3 linked regions of the Oryzias latipes genome follow. The protein of the gene in region 1 purifies or fractionates together with the protein of each later gene. This does not show direct contact. Links are inferred from orthologs where the notes say so. Each region holds a gene or a part of one and is shown on either strand. Other genes may lie near its edges.

Region 1 (2,937 bases):
CGTTACAACCTGCGTCCATTCTTAAGTGAGCGACACGGCCGCCCGCCGGAGGATTTTGTGTTGGGGGGGGGGGTTTATTACGGTTCTCCTTCACTCTGTAACACCAAACATGAACGCTCACTGTTAGATATCATGGATATCACTACATGTTTTGTTTGGGAACTATTTTGTGCAGCGTAACGTTACGTGTCTGTATGAACAAAGGTGGAGCGTCCTGCCCCGCAGCTAGATGCAGCTAGAGAGCAGAAGAATCAACACGCACCCCCAACACACGTGTGTGTGCTCCTTCCTCACACACACACAGCGCGCTGACACACACACACACACAGTATGTACATCTTTAGAGTTAGTTCATTAGTTAGACAGGTAGTAGTTAGTTGTTACTGTTATTTGTTAATAAAAAAAACTGCGTTGTAATTGTATTCATTTGCGACGCGGCCGCTGGGGGATTTTGTGTGTGTGTGTGTGGGGTGGGGGGTGCAGTTGACCGTGACACCGCGCCCCCGGCTGGTTCATCACCGCGGTGATCAAAACCCCCCCACACCGTCACAGCTGTAGTTCTGACCCACCTCTCGGATCAGCTCCTTCCTCACTTTGGTCTCGTTGTAAAGGTGGGTCAGAGTCGAGTCCAGCAGCTCTCGGATCAGACTGGGTTTGTTGTGGGCGGCAGAGTTAAAGGTTACCAAGGCAACGCGCCGCACGTTCAGGTCCGGGTCCTCCAGGGTCTTCAGGAAGTCACCTGGGAGCAAACAGCCAATCAGAGGGCAGAGCATCCCTCGATGAACCATTTATCTTAATAAACAGGATTTATAGAAAAAAAAGCACTTTCAACATTTAAAAACATTAATTACATTTGTGACAAATGAGTCGTTAAATAACAGGTAAGAAACCTTTCAGAATAAAGTCTAATTTATTAAAAACTAAAAGATAATTTTCAGACATTTTTCATCACTTCTAATATCTAACCTGGATATTTTTTAAAGAAGTTATTTAAAACTACAAAAATGGAGATCACTGAAGATCTACATTCTGATCATTTGGATGATCTGCTCCAGAAATCCTGGACCTCTGGTCTGAAACGGCGGCCTGCACAGAGTGGGCGTGGCTTCATTTCACGCTCGTCATTTAACTGCAGACCCAGCGGAGGCCGAATTTTAGGGCTGAGCCTCATGATGGTTTGATTATTGGGACAAGAAAACCAGAAACAAACCTCCATCTAGCTACGACTAAAACCTAATTCAGCTGACTGTGGGAGGGGCTGAGTTACAGGCTGCAGCATCAGCTAATCATTAAAACGAGCAAAAACAAAACCTGCCTCAACTCTCCAAAACCTCACGATAAAGCTTTCAGTGGCATTGCTAGCTGCTGCTGAACGTGTTTCTGAAAACAAAGAAGATTGTTTGGATTTGTTGTAACTTCAAGCAGGAAGGAAGATTTTTACATAAAGAAGCTAAAGATGGTTGAAAATGCATCAAAGTGGAAAAACAATCAGACAGGAGTCATTTAGAAAGTTGGCCATAACGCAAGGCTGTGTGCCAACGCCAAATGAAGCGCACGGGTGTTCTGAACATGCCGGCAGAGCCCGGAACCCTGAAGTTCTGACGGTTGAGGCGGTTCTGGTTTACCGATGCAGTTCTTGAGCAGAGGGTCGATGGGCTGCGGCTGGTCGGAGATGGTGAACTTAACCGCTGTGACCACGGAGCTCCTGGCGTACGAGGAACCTGCAAACATCAGACGTCAGGTTGGGTTCTTTTCGGACACGGTTGGCCAAAGGGGCGTCGGCCTGGGATGCAGCAGTCACCTGACAGCAGGTACCCTTTGAGGCGGGGCAGCAGCGTTTCTGGGTCGATCAGTGTCAGTTTCCCCAAACACTCGGCCACCACGTTCCTGGTTCCCTCCTCCTGACACTCGCAGTGCTTGAGCAGCAGCGACCAGACGGACTCCACGTACGGCTTCAGGCCGGACACGGACGCCGAGCCTGAAGACAGCGGCGGGTCAGAACCACACACGGACCCGCGGACGGGTTCACTCACGGCGGTACTCACTGATGATCTCTTTGAGCGAGTGCAGCAGCAGGTACTGCCTCTTGGAGGAGGAGATCTCCTGCAGGACGAAGGGCAGATACTCCGGAAGATTCCCCACGGCGATGCTGCCCAGAGCGTAGGACGCCGCCGACTTCACCTGAACCACAAACGGGAACTCAGCGCTTCCACGGCCGCAGAGCCAAAGCGGCGCGCGGACGCGAGGATTACCTCTTCGCTGGAGGATGAAAAGGCGTCCAGGATGACCGTCTTCAGCTCGGGTTGGCCGCTGAGGTCCACATGGTGTCCCACCTCGCCCAATGAGAGCAGAGCCAGCAGACGAATGGAGTCTGTGGAGCGGCTGTTCTTCACATCCTGCTCAAAGGAAAGCGCCGCTCATGAACCAGGAAGTAGTCCTGACCTCTGCAGTGAAAACTCAGACACTGAAGCGGAGTTTCTTCGAGTTACATCTCAGACTTTAAGACGTCACGTATGACAAATGACGCCAACTGTCTGCCTGACCGCAGCCCTCTGGAGGGAAAAACTAAACCCTTGAACTTCAGAACAAGTTCTTGTCAGTAACAGAGTAACGTAATAGATTACAGTTCCTAGACTACAGAAACCCTCGTGACTTTTTCCTCACATTGTGGGGCAGTCGGTAACCAAATCACAAAAAAAGAAATTCAGTTTTTTCCTGGAGATGAACTGCTTTCCACTGTCGTAGTGCCAATGAGCAACCTGTCTCTACAGTATGTAGGCCACTGAATCAGACGATGCTAGATGTGTTCATGTGCTGAAATGAATGAGGTGGTGCCGTTTGTATGCGGGTAGAAAAAGTAAAGAGTAGTGAATTACTTTGTAAACTGGTGAATTTAGGCACCTCAAAAAGACGAACCTTCAAATCCAGAAAATTCAT
Region 2 (3,654 bases), on another chromosome or scaffold:
AGGAGCGCCGAATAGTTTAAAACTGAATTGTTCTTTTTCCGCCAGTAGGAAACAAAAAGTCCTCATTTCCGTTGTGCTGCGGTTATGCCGTTGCGTTGCGGGTAATGCTGTTGTGTTGTTTCTATGTACGTAGTGTGAGGCCTGTCGGCCACCGTAAAAAACGAATAAAAACAAACAAGTTCATTAAAGAGAAATACTCATGGGAAATACTGTAACAAACAAATTCAGTGACATAAATGGACGGGATGTGCAGGAAACATTTGGGGGATAAAAATAAAGGATATTTAGAAATAACGTAAACTCTATTTTTAAACTGAATTCTTAATGTTTTAATGTATAATTTAAAACCAAGTAGTTATTACGTCAAAGGATCAACTTGTTCCTGCAGTTTTCCATGTTGCAGGTGGCGTTTGGAATGACGGCGATCTCCACTCACCTCCTGGATGAGGGCGTTGTGCCGGAGGACCTTGCGAGCTTTCATGATCCTCACTATAGCAGCTTGTAAATACATTTTACGGTCTTCATCTACGGCACTCCTCGTCTGCTCCATCTCCTGAAAAGTCACAGGGACACAAAGCGCCGGCGGCATCCGTAATCTGGCTGTTTTACTACACGCTAACCGTGCAGAGAAAAGCTGGAAGGTAGAGAGAGCGATTCTCTGACCTGCGGTGTGTCTTTCTGCATGGATGTGGTGATCTTAAACTTTGTTCTTTTACTGGTGAAACTCATATTTAACGAAAACGTAGACTCCGTTTCAATGTCCTCCTGTGGAGACAGAAGGGGTGACGCATTCGAATGAACATTTCACAGGTTGAAGCAAAGTTGTCACCTAGAAACGGTCGAGCAAAAGGGAAATCAAAAACCTTTTCTGAATCGTGGTTTAGCATTTTGACATCCAGGAGGGACTTGACGGTCTTCTGGAGCTCCTTCTCATTCATCTGGGTGCCGTCTTGTAGCTCCTTGTAGGTCACCGTCTGGCTGTTGTTAAAGGCCAGCAGCACAGCCATCTGATAGGTGGTTACCATGGCAACATAGGGCTTGGACAGGTAGTTCATCTTCACTTCGCCTGTTGGAGAAAATTTGCAGCTGAAACTGGCCCAGGTTTGGTTTTCTCAGCGGTAAACACATTAAAGTCCAACTGTTTGGTACCTGTACAGAGGTAGTGCAGCCAAGTCAACTTCCGCCCACTGAAGTGCTGATTATAGAACAACTCAAACTAGAAAAAAAGAGGGGTGGAGTCAAAAGCGTGCTCTTGTCATCGCTCCTTTCGGTCTACAGCTCAGTAGCGCAGCTCACCATCTGCACACTCTTTTCTAGCTCCTGGGGGATGGCGAATGTCGAGGAGGGGACGTGTGTGAGGGGCCAAGCTCCAGCCTGAAACGAGACCGAAAAAATGTCAACAAACTGCTATGTGTGTATGCAAAAAAAAAACCCCGACTTTGCCCCCACGTACTTGTAAAACGTAGATCTGGAAGCTGATTCCCAGGTCCACCACCGTCTCCTGAGTCTTGATGAAATTGTTGAATTTGTTGTTGAGGTCGGCGCTGACGCTCATGTCTGTGTACATTCTGTGGAGTTTGCTGGTGAACTCATAGCCACAGGCTTGCTGCGAAGCCAGAAGGGGCATTAGGAAAGTGAGGAACAAGCACACAAAAACTGGCAAACAAGGATCCGACCGCTCAGAATTTACCTTTAGTTTGTTGATCATGGCTTCTTCTGAATCCATCGACAACGATAAGCCGTGTATTAACCTCTTTGCTAACATTCTGGCATAAAACTGCAGAAAACAGAGAAATAGTCTATATAGTTAAACGACACATTAAGGGTTTAATGGCCATCCCACCCAGGGCCGAAACATTTCAATATCTGAAGACAGCAGCTTAACCTTTTGACACCAAAGATTTAGTGCTGACACTCTTTGGACAAGCGTAACGCTATATTCACGCCAATTTATGTGTCAGCGGCGTCCAGTTTCAAGGTCAAGTCGATGCACAGATGCAATCAGAGGTCCTAATTGCAGCAGCCGGACAGCCCCGTGTTTTGGGCGTCACAGCATGTCAGGAGTTCAATTATTTGAACTTTGAAGACAAAGACAAGTTGCATCAACCAATCAGGATCTTTGTTTAAGAGCTTGTCTCAGAAACCAGCGTCAAAAGAAAAGCGTGCGAGTCGTGCTCAGTGTGAACGATGCAAAACTCTTCACCCGTTCACGCAATCAACGCAATTTCAATGGATTCTGAGGCTGAAAAAAGAGGCTTTGCGCTGATTTGCAACACTTTACAGTAATAAAGTAGATGTAAATCACCTGATTCTGTTGCAAAGAAGTGCAGCTTTACGTCGTTGCATTACATAAAATGTTGCATTTCTGTGTCCTAATCTGTTGGAATCACATTTGTTGTGCATAACATCAAAGAGTTACGGTAGTTCAAAGAGCCTGTTATTTAGGGGTTAAAGAGTAAAAAGTAAAGCAGGGGGTCTCAAACTGGCGGCCTGCAGGATTTTTCAAACCCCACAGGTGATATTTGCAGCCCCCAACTTAATATGAAAGTTTAACGTCAGTACGAGTTTTGCATGAACGGCACTTTTACAGTGTTGTGTGCAGAGCTGACGAGCCGACCAATCACGGTGGGGTACATGGCTCTTGGGGGCGTGACATTGGACGGGCTTGATAGATGTAAGCAGGGAAACGTTTAGGGCAGACCACATTCATTTTCTTTTATAGCATGTATGACTAGATGCCTGGGTTAAAATGTGGCAAAATGTGGTAAAAAAAAGACAAAATCCAAAAACATAAAACGTAAAAAAAAACATAAATAAATTTTGTTTGTCCCTCACGCCGGTTTATACTTCACAGCGACCAGCCATCGCATCAATCGTATCCACAATCACCCAGTCTAGTTCATTCTAATGTTGGCTGGTTTCCATTGCGAATGTCTGCTGTATGAACTTCTGAGGGCGGGGCTCTAGACTCTAGGGTCTAGAATTTTTGCACTGGTTGTACCTAACTTTTTATCTTAGGTGCCCCAGCATGAAGGTAGTGTACCTACCCTTCTCGACCACATGGCATTTAACTTAACATTTGTTTCTCCTTCAAACTGGTAAACATAAAGTCCTTTCTTTGAAATACAGTTCTACAAGGTAGGTAAGCTGCACGCGTGTTTCTCATCCAGTGATGATGAAAAAAGTCAAATTCTTAGGTCTTCTGCTGCAGCTGGACATGTATCTGCGTGACCTTTTCACCAGCACAGTGTTTCCTTGTTTATTTCAGGAGTTACGTTCTAAAAATAACCGTGAACGAGGAAATCTCCGGAGTAGGATTACAGAAGTTTATTGGCGGTAAAACTCCTCACTGCCCTCTTTCTCAGACAGACATGAACATTTTCCCACTTTTTTCTCTTGTTTAAATTCTCAAAGTTCAAACCTTTATAGTAATTAAGTCCAGGATCTTAGAATGAAAACAAAGATCAAAGATTTCTGTAGATCTGAAAAGCTCCGTGTTTCTGTAAAGGAGACACGGCATGGAGGAGATTGATTGACAAGATATCCAACCAATCAGGACACAGAAGAGCATGATCTCTCTAACGAGTGAGCGAAACCGCAAAAGATGAACTGCGACGTAGAAAGGAAACACTGTCTTCTGTTCTACTTGACAGG
Region 3 (4,316 bases), on another chromosome or scaffold:
TGGTCCCTCTCCCTTCCTCCTCACATTCAGTCCCCGTCCGAACCACCTAAACGCCTCTGATCTGGCCAGGCGAGACGTCTCAACATACCCTCAGGCCTGAAATGGAGAACACTCATCACTGACAGAGTGAAGCATTAAACAAGAATATCAAAGAAAGAAAAAGTGAAGCTACCTGTGCTAGATCTGTCATAAACCAAAACTTTAATTGGAGAAGTTAAACTCTCTCTCTCTAAAAAAAAAAAAAAAAAAGTTATTACAGTACATAAAATAAAAGCGCAACATATATTTCTGATAAAACACTGATAGATAAAAAATAAAACAACATATCACAAAAAAAATTTTTTTTTTTGGTTGCCCCCAATAATTATGAATTGGTAGCACTAAAATAGTTGTAAAAAAAATTCCACTACAAGAAAATTAAGCACTTCAAAAATACAAGCCAATATTATTTCAATTTCAAAAAAATGTATGCTTAAATTTAGGTTTAAAAGAAATAGTAGTTTTGAATAGGTCAGTCCATCTGATTGACTGTACTTTTTTTCCTTTAATTTGTTGAGCATAATTTTGTGTTTAACAAATATAAAACTTCATTAAGTGTATTATGTCTTTGTCAGGGCTCTTTAGATAAAGTAAAGTTGTGGCTTCAAGTCTTTGAAAGCCTCTTTACCATCTTTCTGTCCTAAATTTTTTTTTAAAACAATAAGAGGGAAGAGAATGTCTCAACCTGAAATGGAGTTTCAACATTTTAGTTTTCAAAAGGGAAGCACTTGTTCATGAAGTAAGGCTTTCACATATTAGAGTTTCTTACAACCAGATTTTTATGAGGAACTGCAAACATTTCTTCAGAAAATTACAGAATTCAAAGAAAAGTCCACGTCATGAATTAATCAAAACACTAATCGTGTGACATTGTAACCTGACTGATGAACAGCGAAGGGTGGATCAACAAACTGGAGAAAGTAAAGCAGAGAATTGCTCTGAGACTATGTGAATGTAAATATCCAATGTTTGCATTTGATCCTGTTTCCTGTGTCACACTGAGATTTTGTTGAATCCCTCAACTGCTGTGATTAGTTGAGTTTTCTTTTATGCGTTTAACCTGTTTGTCTGGCCTGCAGAGACCTGGCCAAGAAGTCTGATGATGAATTTTAATGCCTGAACATTTCATAATATGGTTAATCAGTCTTATAAGTTCATTTATAGGAGTAGTGGATAAAAGGGAACTGTATTCAAATCTTCCATAGCACATTCTCATGACAAATGTGAGTACCAACGATGTGGAAACAGTACATGTGACTCAGGAGCTCAGCATTATCTTTATTCTAAGTAAAGTTAGCACAAAACAAATGAATTAAATGAGAACTAATGTGAGTAGCTAATGAGGATGTTACTTACAGATACTCATCGTGATGGCATTATCTTTCAGTTCTGCGCCATCATTGTGACCTTGACATCACTGCAAAGCTGAAAAGACACATTATCTTGTCATCAAGACCACAAAGTGATGACTCACCGTTGCCACACTTCCAGGGATTATTGTTATTATGGTTTGGGTCTATGCAGTTTGAGCACAGCTAAACTGTTATACCTTATTGCACAATGATGCAATTGCATACTGGTGGGGGGCACACAGAGCTGACCTACTGTAATCAGTTAAGGGCCTCTATTGTTCTAAGGTTTTCTGTTTTGTAAAGACAAAAGTCAAAACACACGCAAAATCATAGCTTTGCTCGAACGTTAAGGTGGGGAGTTTAAAACTAAAAGGGGGAAAAAAAACTTAAGAGGCATGATCGCTGAGTCAGGACTTAAGTCACAACATGATGAGTAGGATATTCTAGAGCAGAGCAAATCCTGCTCTGATCAATGCTCTAGGCATGTTCGGGCAAGTCTTTCAGGTCATCAAGCTCCCCCAAGATGAAGGCCAACATATTCACCATAAACTAGCAGGACACTTAATTAGTAAGCACCAAGTAAACTAATCAGACATTAGTTTAACCAGATTAGCTAGTCTTAAAAGAGTCCTAGTAGACAAAGTAGATTTAGAACACGCCTGTGCAACATCTGCACCGCTGTTATTGCAACACATTAACTAATGAGTTATTCGAGTATGTCTAACATTAAAAGGTCGAGTTAATTTGTTATGAAGATCCAAACACTTTGAGAAAATTAAGAGCTCAACATCACATGACATGTAGTACATCCCAAATGAAAGGTAAACAATGTTTAAGCAGTCATAACGACCAATACAGTAACACCCTACAGTGACACACTGTGCTACATTTAAAAACACAAGCACTGAACGACAATACTTTCCCATCAATGGGTCATTTTCACTCTTACATTTAAAACTGACTGGCCCTGGCTACGTCGCCATAGCTAGCTAGCATCAGCTTGGATCACTAAAAGTTAGCTATCTGCTATGCTAGCTCCTTTCCGACTGATAAGTACCCTAAATATAAGTGAAAACAAACTTACCTAATTGAAAAGACAGTTTCTCGTGTGGTGGATGGATTGACATCGCTACAAAGAGTGCCAGTTAAATTAGGTAACAAAGTAAGTTAGCCGAAAGCGACTACAAGCGAACTGAGAAACTCGTCGCGTTAACTCAGATTGCTAGCTTTAGCGGTGAGCTGACAAAAAAAAGGAAAAAAAAAAAACTTCTACATTAATGTCTGATTCTAGACGACACGCAGAGGGAAGGAAAGGCAAAAATAATGAAAAAAAAATAAATATTTTTTTTTAAACTGTTTTTAGCTCTGTTTGTTGACTGAAAAAAGTGAAAAGATAATCTTGGACTAAAGCACTCTGCTTCTTTGTGCTCTCCCCCTTTAAGTCATTGAGTGTAGCAACGTTATGGGCATTTACTGCATCACTTCCTCCCTCCCTGCAAGCAGCCAACAGCTGATCTTCGTCTGAACGGGGGTGTAACGCCAAAGTTTGTGACCAAAAACCTTAAAGATTTCAATGTGTGTGTCGTGTGACCCATCAAACTTTGTGACCTAACTAGGGTCACCAAAATGTCCTAGAAATTTGTATTCTTTCTGGTATACATTTGGGTTACAGGTATTAACCTTACATATAAGTGACAATTAAATTGAATTTCAATTTTTTGTAAATATTTATAACAAAGAAATGAAATGAATCTTTGGTTAATGGTTAAAAAAACAACAACAACAACGTTTTTCGTGTGTGTATGTGTGTGTGTGTGTGTGTGCGTGTGTGTGTGTGGGGTGTGTGTGTGTGTGTGTGTGTGTGTGTGTGTGTTGTGTACCAACAGTATTAATGCAGTCATATACAATTAAGCTAGTACTTTTTTGGAACCCATCAAAATGTTTATTCATTTCAAATTTAAATGATATGGATGTATGATTGAATAGAAAACCTAAACTGTTTAGACACATATCTCAAGATAACAATGTTTAATTTTAGTATGAATTTCTGTGACTTAAAAAAGAAATCAACCAAATCAAAGGTTGGACCTTCATTTATTTATTTAGGTTATTAAAACATAGCACCAAACGAAATGATTTCTTTACAACAAACCTAATGTTTGTAAATGTAAAATATCCAAATACCACCTGCAGGTATAATTGAATTTAGGCATACTACAAATTGAAACTCATATTTATGTACTAATAATGCTTAAATATATTTATTCAAATATAAGATATGCTTTTAGTAATACATTGGAGCAGTACTGGCAATGGTCAATTATCAATAATAGTGCACTCATATTGTTGGTCGCTTATTCAGAAGATGGGTTTAACTATAATTTTTCATATACAATCGAAATTATTTAGAATTATTGACAAAAAAATTACAATAAGTTTTTGTGGAGAAGGATAGTCTTGTTGGGTCTCTCTTTAAGTTATTGGTTGTTTCACAAATGCTCCTTTAATTATTATACTTTCGTTTGAAATATATTTCCTTGGTTAGTCCTTTTACCCTGAAGATGTTCTTTATGTGTATTTGTTTTAAAGTATATTAAGATGTTTCACAAGACAATCACTCCTTAATTGAACGGACAATCCTCACATGCGAATTTGTTATTTGTAGTTATTAATAAAGTTTTATTTGAAGACGTCATCATTGAGCGACAGAGTTTTTTTCTCCTCTGTTGTCCTAGCAGGCTTATTAAACAGGTAGGTTAAATTTCTACCTAGCTTTTGATAAATTTTTGTGATTTATTTGCAGTTATATTGACTATTTAGAGTGACAATTTTTATGTGTTGTTTCTTGTATTTTAGGGTTTAACTCTCTCCGTATTGAAATTTAGCCTCCGTTTCGCACTTGCGAAACCAAAGTCTGACTGAGTC

What was found.
Region 2: the proteins of cand1 (region 1) and cul2 purify together in Homo sapiens (affinity purification with western blotting; 7 studies listed by BioGRID and IntAct, with this or other methods). This does not show direct contact. The link is inferred for Oryzias latipes from reciprocal best matches to the Homo sapiens genes CAND1 and CUL2.
Region 3: the proteins of cand1 (region 1) and dcun1d3 purify together in Homo sapiens (affinity purification with western blotting; 3 studies listed by BioGRID, with this or other methods). This does not show direct contact. The link is inferred for Oryzias latipes from reciprocal best matches to the Homo sapiens genes CAND1 and DCUN1D3.

What each region holds. Positions count from the first base shown.
Region 1 is NC_019881.2:23,312,248-23,315,184, reverse strand, and holds part of cand1 (cullin-associated NEDD8-dissociated protein 1), read right to left. Parts: intron 2,397-2,937; coding exon 2,253-2,396; intron 2,182-2,252; coding exon 2,046-2,181; intron 1,979-2,045; coding exon 1,802-1,978; intron 1,722-1,801; coding exon 1,626-1,721; intron 740-1,625; coding exon 570-739; intron 1-569. UniProt on the Homo sapiens protein: Key assembly factor of SCF (SKP1-CUL1-F-box protein) E3 ubiquitin ligase complexes that promotes the exchange of the substrate-recognition F-box subunit in SCF complexes, thereby playing a key role in the cellular repertoire of SCF complexes.
Region 2 is NC_019878.2:9,081,621-9,085,274, forward strand, and holds part of cul2 (cullin-2), read right to left. Parts: intron 1,778-3,654; coding exon 1,691-1,777; intron 1,607-1,690; coding exon 1,454-1,606; intron 1,375-1,453; coding exon 1,297-1,374; intron 1,217-1,296; coding exon 1,150-1,216; intron 1,067-1,149; coding exon 864-1,066; intron 766-863; coding exon 664-765; intron 554-663; coding exon 437-553; intron 1-436.
Region 3 is NC_019877.2:9,531,443-9,535,758, forward strand, and holds the start of dcun1d3 (DCN1-like protein 3), read right to left. Parts: upstream 2,856-4,316; 5' UTR 2,476-2,855; intron 1,465-2,475; 5' UTR 1,396-1,464; intron 228-1,395; exon of another isoform or gene 173-227; intron 97-172; 5' UTR 1-96. UniProt on the Homo sapiens protein: Contributes to the neddylation of all cullins by transferring NEDD8 from N-terminally acetylated NEDD8-conjugating E2s enzyme to different cullin C-terminal domain-RBX complexes and may play a role in the cell cycle progression by regulating the SCF ubiquitin E3 ligase complex, after UV damage.